Bombyx mori: one gene and its partner. The protein of the gene in region 1 interacts with the protein of each later gene in a pairwise test. Links are inferred from orthologs where the notes say so. Each region holds a gene or a part of one and is shown in the gene's direction. Other genes may lie near its edges.

Region 1 (4,299 bases):
ATGAAAAATTGGTCGTGCAAATCCAGCAAACAATTAATAATAATTATCGACGTACGTCAAGCCTATTCATGATCCTTTTGCATCGTGCATCGTGCATGGCCTTGGCGGGACGTACAGCAAGATGGATCGTGAATAAGGCGCTTAAGTGTCAATCAGACAAAGATATTCTTTTCAGACACTAATGTTTTTAAGAGGTCAAGATTACGATATGATACACAGTAAACTTACCAAATTAACAATTTTGGGCGAAAATGCTGGGAGTGGAATTGTGTGAATTGTTTTGTTTTGTTAATTTAGTCTTTCTTCAGGTTTGACGTATAATAATTATGACCGATATGAAATGTTTTAGTGAACCTTAGTTACGTTTTGTGATCTCGAGCTCATTTATAAAATAAAGTTTAATATGAAATTACATTATATACTGTAAAACCCACTATTAATAGTACACATTAACGGTATAGTATAAAATTATGAGCAAGCTTTCTCTTGAGCGTTGTTCATTGACAGTTCTGAGAAACAAACACACAAATGGTTCCATACTCAATAGTATATAATACGCACTAGTATTTATCTATTCCACTGATACCACACTAACACTAATTTTACTCTCGCTTTAGATTTAGGATTGCTTTTGCACTACGCATTGTATTGCTTGTCTCGCTTCTCGTCCTTCCATTGCAAGACAAAATAGTTAAAAATTAACAAAAAAGTACGCTGGACATCAGCTGAACATCAACTCGCAATTTGAGACGTGAGATCGAAGTCTCAACTTTTGGCATCATCCGTAACTTGAGCTGATCGTAACAGAATCAAGTTATGTGATGAGCTATCTTGGGCTCTGGTAGAGCCCCTGGTCTACCCCACGTGTGATCGTTGTCTTCCATTCTGGTCTCCGACTTTTATAAGACGATTATATAACGGTGTTTGTGCGAGCTTCCCAGGACTGAACTTAGCAGGGTCACCTGTTACGTCGTTAATAGTCAGCGGGCGTCCTCTTTGGGTCCTAGCCTAACTTATCACGTTCAATGAGCTTACCAAAACTTCCACCATAGGTTTTTTTTTATTGCGATTTATGCTAGTTGCAGTAAACGAACTCATGTCCCAACTGCTGTTAAATCGTTACCGGAGCCATGTATCAACAACGTAAGCGCATGTACCAACGTGTCCCACCTTGAGATATGAGTTTTAACTCTCCGTTTTTACAGTACAGCAGCTGTCAACCCTTCAAACCAAAACGTAATTAACTGCTTCACGGCAGAAATAGGCATCTAGTGGTACCTACCCATGCAGGTTCATAGGACACCTTACCACCAGTAAAAGGTGGTAAGGCATAGGTAGGTGCTCGACTTACGGTCAAGATGCTCCGTCACATAAGTGATTAGTCAGTTTCACTATTTATTTATCTTTTTAGTATAAGTAGATAAATTTGATATATAGAAAACTAGTGGAAATTGTATAAAATCGATTTAATAGTCTTCAGTAACCTCTAATTTATAGGTATTATGTACAGACATACTCTGCGATAGGACGTGGTAGATTAGAAATTACTAGGTATATTGGTTGAGATAAATTAATGGACATCATTAATATAATCGATCGACCGTGACAGGTGCGTGACATACTGTGACTAATTTCAGGGAATGTGAAAAATTATTTACTCAGGATATCATTTAATAAATTTAAAAAAATACTAAAATTTTCTGTATACATTCAGATTTTCGTGTACGTGTATTTATGTGCCTTCTGCGCTAGATTTCAATAAGTAATGTGATAAAGAGAATGTGGCGTTATTTACGTTTCCTTTCACAGTGATAAGAATACGATAATAAGATAATTCGAAGGATTCTTAGCTTCGGACGAACTCGCTTCATATGGTAATAATTCATTGTTGTGTAACATTAATACTATAATTGTTTCAGGAGGTATGTTTGTATTGTGCACTTCGTGTTTGTTTATCGTTACAAGACGTATAAACAATAAGTGTCTTCTCGTTTAAGCTGGTTATTTAAGTCATTGACAGATAATAATCAATTGTCCAGTAAAACACTTAATCAACTTATTGGCAAATGCTTTCAGATCGGGATCGGTAATTTAGCAGCGTTAATTGGAAGCAAAAAAAAATTACTATTTTTCTTTTGGTTTGGTAATAGCAACATTAATGACAGTGTTCTGCTACAGTATTTTTCACACACAAAAAAACAGCATAGAAGCCCATTTAATTTCAAACTTATTACCATTAAAATCGTAATAAAATTTTAAACTTTATTCTATTTTGATCATCAACCTAAATAATAAGGACAAACCAATTAATAATTCCATACAATACTTCATACATATGGTTAAATTTTCAATACAATGTACAAAATCATTATCAATGTTACCTTTAAACTATAATTACTGCCTTATGGGACAAGTATTCCTAACACCTATAGCCCGTTAATTTAAATTTTATAAAACATTAACTTCAATTATTCATGATACTGAATAAAATGTGAAAAGTAGAACTCCATATTTTATTTTTCTTTCCCAGAAATGTCCAGTATTAAGATGAAACCACAGCCTAAATAAAACAATATTATGCTTCATTCAAAAGGTTTAACTAAGAGCATACACTATGAATGAAAATATATCTTCACTCACTGCTCCAATTTCTGTGTCCACATATCATCAACTGAGCTTAACAGGTAAGTTCAAATACATTTTGATCTAAACTGATTGAAAATTAATCTTGAAATATTTTTGCAAATGATATTAAATGAAATTATCAAATCTTCTAACACACATTGTATATTTTTAGTGGAATCAGCAAATATAAAAAATTCAGGCTTGTTCAAACCAAATCCATACCTGCAAGTTATAATTGATGATAAAATATTGAGAAAGACTGAAGTTATAAGGAACACCTTGCATCCAAAATGGAAAGAAGATCTTACTATTTTGGTGACGCCACAATCGCAATTACTGTTCCGTCTTGCAGATTATCATAGCTTTAGGAAAGACAATGTGATTGGTGAAAAAAAAGTGAACCTATTAAAAGTTTTGTTTTACTGTAATGGGAAATGTGAGAATTTAGAACTTACATTAGGTGAGTTAAACTGAACCAGTTTCTGTTGAAATTAAGAATAATTGAAGATTATTTAATATAGCCTTATAAAACTCTCTTCACTGAGAATTCATTTTAAAATAAGTACAATTTTTCAATATAATAAGAATGTAAAAGAAAGACATTACAATATTCAAAATTTGTGAAATTGTGCTTCATATAAATTCAGTAAACAAGTAAAACAAAACTTGTTGTAATGTTTGCACTTTTTTAGATTTAATGAAAACATCTTCTCAAGAGAATACTAGTGGAAATGCTGAGGTAAAAACAGCAGAACTGGTGTTGCTTCTAGATGGCTTAAGAATTGACCCTGGAGTGTTGACACAAACACGTGAATTACTTGGTGAAACGGCAAATACTGCAGCTCCCCTTAATGAAGGGGTGCGAGCCAGAATCAGAATGCGCAACAATCCTGAGACTGTTAGATCCATGATGCGATCACTAACACTTGGAGTAAGTTGATGTTTCTATTATTTGTATCATACAAAAAATTTAAAATAGAAACAATCCATCTACTACAACAAGGCTGCCTGGTTGAGTAATAACATTTATTCATGAATTATTATTAATTTCCATTAAATTGTTCATGACTAATTTAAGCTTTCCCATTCTATTTTAAAAAGGTTTATCTTTTGATCTATTTATATTTTAGTTTTAAATTACATTTTAAAGTTTTGAGATTGTAAAGAACTTTCATTAAAGAGTAAAGATATATTTTGCACATTCCATCAAAGTATAGTGTTTATATGGTCAATACAACTAAGAAGAAAAAGTTAGTTCTGTATAAATTATTTTTTTCATTTTTAAAGCCACCTCCAGGACCTCCACCAATGAGCAATGGGTCTATACATTTACCGAGTACTGCAACACAGTCATCATCAGAAACTGCAGGCCCCTCACAGCAGTCACGCCTGCCTGGTACACAGGATCCAACATCAACACAGCCAACATCTGCTAATACTGCTTACCCTAATGCTGCTGAGGAGCCTTTGCCTCCTGGGTGGGAAATGAGATATGATGGTTATGGTAGACGGTAAGTATTCCAACTCATAAATATTTAACGCGTCTCATACTAGCTGGTAGATCTTTCAATTCGATTTACAATATACTGTTTGGTCAGTGTTCGAGAAGTTAGGAAAGTAAAAAAAAAAAGAATAAGTATGTACTTTCTTTAAATTCATTGGAGTATAAACTGA
Region 2 (4,045 bases), on another chromosome or scaffold:
CACTCCGACGAGAAACTCTGTGGGCTGTGTCTATTGGGTAATTTACTCGTCAAGCCCTTGGTCGCAAGCGACGTGTTCGGCGAGGACGATGACCTTTGCTTGAGGTATCTAAAGGCACTGTTAACGGATCGGGACGATCCGTAATGACGCGCTTAAGGCGACGTCGACTGTTTACCATTCGGACCATTCATTAACATTGCTGTGGGCAGATGCTATATTAAATGGCGGTTAATTCTAAATGATTTTATGACCTGGTTACTGAGACCTTTAAGCGATGTCTTATTTTTAATTTATATTCTTATTTTTATGAAAAATGATAATAATATGTAGTGAAACGAAATGAAATGAAGATGATTAATTTGAGATATTAACCAATTGGGATGAAATGACATGATATGGGATGAAACATTATCTTAGTAAAATGGTGGTCATTTACTGAGATTTTTTCAGTAGCCTTTTTGGAGGATCCCGAGAAGTTACGTCCAGAGGCTTTGTTTCATTTTCCCACATTTGTGCACTTTCACAAACATTAAACAGATAATAAACCACCGTTATTACACATTTAAACCTGAAGAAACACTAAATAGACAAAATAAAACAAATCACACAACTTTACTCCTCGCGCTCCCGCCAAAAAGTCAATGGCGGTTAAAGGTAGGGAGAAGCATAGACTAACAAGAAATGAGCATTAGCTGTAGTAACCAGTACGTTATCAGCACCAGTTATAATATATTAATCTGTAATACAACGTAGATCGCAGAAAATACAATCGCTACAAACCAACATCATTAATAAAGCGTTTGTAGAAAATAGTGCATTGAACAATTTTGATTTATTAGTTGGATATAGTCCCTGTTTTCCAATTACAGCACAAGAGCGCATTATGCAGCATAATGCTCAACGTTGAATGTTTCCACTACAGCAACGTTTCGCACAATCGAGCACTCCCAAAAGTAATGCTCTAGCGTGATACTCGCAATCGATACCGACTCGATTGAAACATTAACCATTGAAACATTCAACGTTGAGCATTATGCCGCATAATGCGCTCTTGTGCTGTAATTGGAAAACAGGGAATAGCTTTATTAAATATATTTTTAATAACTTTATTAGTGCTCTTTTAACTCTTGTTACAATCAATCAACAATCATATTATTTTAAAAGACCGGTTTGCATCATAGCCCCTTAATTAAAAAAAATAGGTGGCAACACTAAATAAAGTTTAGTACAGTCACCGATCACCGTTTTTCTGTGATAAAATACTGAATTCATTGACGTTTTCCATGTTAATTCAGTTTCTTAATTTCTATTGTGCTGCGTAATTATGGTGTTTGATTGGAATGACAATTAATCGATTTGAATTTTAAAAAAGAATACCTTTGGAATATTTTGGGACATTTTAGCAAATTTTGTACAATGGCTGCAACGAGAAGACTACAAAAAGTAAAAAATATATTTTGTATTTCATTGATACTTTGGGACGAATATATATTTAAACCACGTATAGTTTTACCCGTAAATTTAACCTAAAAGTTAATTACGAAAGTTTGTTGCTGTACGAATTGTCAAATCTGCTTAAACACTTCATGTAGTAAATCAATCAAATCGAGAGAATGTCACAAACCTAAAATAGTTATTACAACGAGAACAATTTAAAAAAAGTATATTTTCAGCAACTTTCTCCCATTACTGTCATAATACTACACAATAATATTTTTTAGGAACTTAATGACATCAGACAGTCTGGCCTGAAGTCTTTCAGAGACATACAGGTTGATGAGTCCAACATCTTAACATGGCAAGGTCTAATTGTTCCAGTAAGTAACCATTGATTTAGTAGTGAATTTGTAATTTTTTTTTATAGATATTTTAATATATTTACACAAAGAACAATATCAGTAAATTATTGTTTCAATTAAATTTATTCAAAATTATTGTCTCATGTATTCTGATCAGAAAGAAGGGGTATCCCATTATTGTAATGCAAGTGTTCAAGTTCAACCTTTATCAGGGTGTACTTTTAGGTATGGATTTCAATATCTGTATAATGTTAGGTGAGTCATGAGTTATGTGCTAGAACAATTTTGTGTGATAATGTATGTATTTGTAGTCTTTCATGGTCAGATGTATCTAATAAAAAGAATCTTATCATGTAAAACAAACATTTTGATTTAGTTGTCATAGGTAAAAGATCTTGTCTGTTATACACTCCCCAAGTGATATTTTTAATTAATAACTAAATATTCTCTTTTAGGACAACCCACCTTACAACAAAGGTGCTTTCCGCATTGAGATTAACTTTCCAGCAGAATACCCATTCAAACCCCCGAAAATTAGTTTCAAAACAAAGATTTACCACCCTAACATTGATGAAAAGGGTCAGGTGTGCCTGCCCATCATTAGTGCAGAAAATTGGAAGCCTGCTACCAAGACTGATCAAGGTAAAGTAGTGATATGTTAGGTCCATAGAATATCTAAAATATTTAAATAAAAGTGAATATAACATTAAACCCAAAATAAATGTTTGTTACCCCAATCTCAGAGAATGAGGTTTATGCGGAATTACACTACACTACACTAACATCTGGAACAGGAATTCACAAAATGGGCAAGATAACCTCTTTTACAAAACATACTCATGCCTCAGACTACCATTGCCAAATTACTTTAAATACTCTAACTTGCAAAGAAAGGGAAAGCACAGGCTCAGCAAAAGCTGGAATTTGCTAACAACTGCCTGAGTGCCTCTGAAGGAGATCTAACTGCTCCAGGATATGGACCTGTACACTCTTATCAATTTGTTGAGTTTTTTCAAAGTACAATTAGTCATTCTTATAACAAGTTGTGACACATAACACAATTTAAACAGTATTTTGAAAATTTCAAATAAGTACTTCTGTTCATTAATAGAGGTCAATTTTTAGACCTGTTTATACAAAATAAGTTTTTGCTTATGTCACCCCTGGAAAACTGATATTGGCTCTTTTGGAATTCTCTCATCTGTACATTCATTTGTAAATAAATATCTTATTCAGGAACACTACTGTTCAATAATACAAGACAAAGCCTACAGAACCCGGATTTTATTTTTTATTGTTAAGAAACCCTTAGATTCGAAGCTTAAGAAGGTCTTGAACAAAAAAATACTTAAAGTATGGTTTGCCAATATTCAGATAATTATCTAATCTTACAGCCATAGAGTAAGAATAAGATAATGCCTTATTGTACACTTAAATAAAATTACAAAAGTATAGATCAGACAACTGTCAGATAGTGAGAATCAAAAACGATATAATAGTAGATTCTGGTAGGTCTGGCATAGGGCAATTCTGTCGAAGCTACCATCTTACGGAATCCCCGAGGGTCTCTGCAAGTGGATCGCTAGCTTTTTGGGTGAGCGGAGCATCACGGTCGTTGTAGACGTTGACTGCTCTGACCATGACCATTAACGCTGGCGTTCCACAATGTCCGGCCCTCCCCACGCTTATCCTGTATATCAATGACAATTGACGGCATGCATCGCTATGCGGATATCAACACGGGTGATACGCGATATATCGGCCTCAGAGTCTCTCTCGGAGCGTGGTGCAAGAGGGATGTTCAAAACTTGTGTCTGAAGTGGAGAACTTTCTGGGGCGAGTCTCCGAATGGGATGAAAGTCCGAAAGTCAACCCGTTAAAAACACAAGTTTGCGCGTTCACTGCAAAGAAGGACCTCTTTATCATGACGCCTCAATTCCAAGGAGTATCCCTGCAACTTACCTTAGAGTATCGGGATACTTGGGGTCGACATTTCGAGCGATGTCCAATTTCGGAGTCATTTGTTGGGCAAAGCCAAGTTGGCATTAAAATCCTGGGAGTCCTCAACAGAGCGAAGCGGTACTTCACGCCTGGACAGCAAAGACTTTTGTTTTATAAAGCACAAGTCCGGCCTCGCGTGGAGTACTGCTCTCATACCTGGGCCGGGGCTCCGAAATACCAGCTTCTTCCATTTGACTCCCATCAAGAAAAGGGCCGTTCGGTTTGTCGATAAACTCATTCTCACG

What was found.
Region 2: the proteins of E3 ubiquitin-protein ligase Su(dx) (region 1) and UBE2L interact in binary tests that used the Caenorhabditis elegans proteins (3 or more experiments, as listed by UniProt). The link is inferred for Bombyx mori from reciprocal best matches to the Caenorhabditis elegans genes wwp-1 and ubc-18.

What each region holds. Positions count from the first base shown.
Region 1 is NC_085110.1:8,433,227-8,437,525, reverse strand, and holds the start of E3 ubiquitin-protein ligase Su(dx), read left to right. Parts: upstream 1-1,499; 5' UTR 1,500-1,609; exon of another isoform or gene 1,610-1,809; 5' UTR 1,810-1,874; exon of another isoform or gene 1,875-1,922; intron 1,923-1,944; exon of another isoform or gene 1,945-2,143; intron 2,144-2,530; 5' UTR 2,531-2,614; coding exon 2,615-2,684; intron 2,685-2,797; coding exon 2,798-3,085; intron 3,086-3,317; coding exon 3,318-3,556; intron 3,557-3,912; coding exon 3,913-4,136; intron 4,137-4,299. UniProt on the Caenorhabditis elegans protein: E3 ubiquitin-protein ligase which accepts ubiquitin from an E2 ubiquitin-conjugating enzyme in the form of a thioester and then directly transfers the ubiquitin to targeted substrates. Ubiquitinates klf-1.
Region 2 is NC_085122.1:5,771,079-5,775,123, forward strand, and holds the start of UBE2L (ubiquitin-conjugating enzyme E2L), read left to right. Parts: upstream 1-1,245; 5' UTR 1,246-1,416; coding exon 1,417-1,443; intron 1,444-1,721; coding exon 1,722-1,817; intron 1,818-2,254; coding exon 2,255-2,441; intron 2,442-4,045. UniProt on the Caenorhabditis elegans protein: Ubiquitin-conjugating enzyme E2. Accepts ubiquitin from the E1 complex and catalyzes its covalent attachment to other proteins. Required for diet restriction-mediated lifespan extension, probably acting as part of a complex with ubiquitin-protein ligase wwp-1.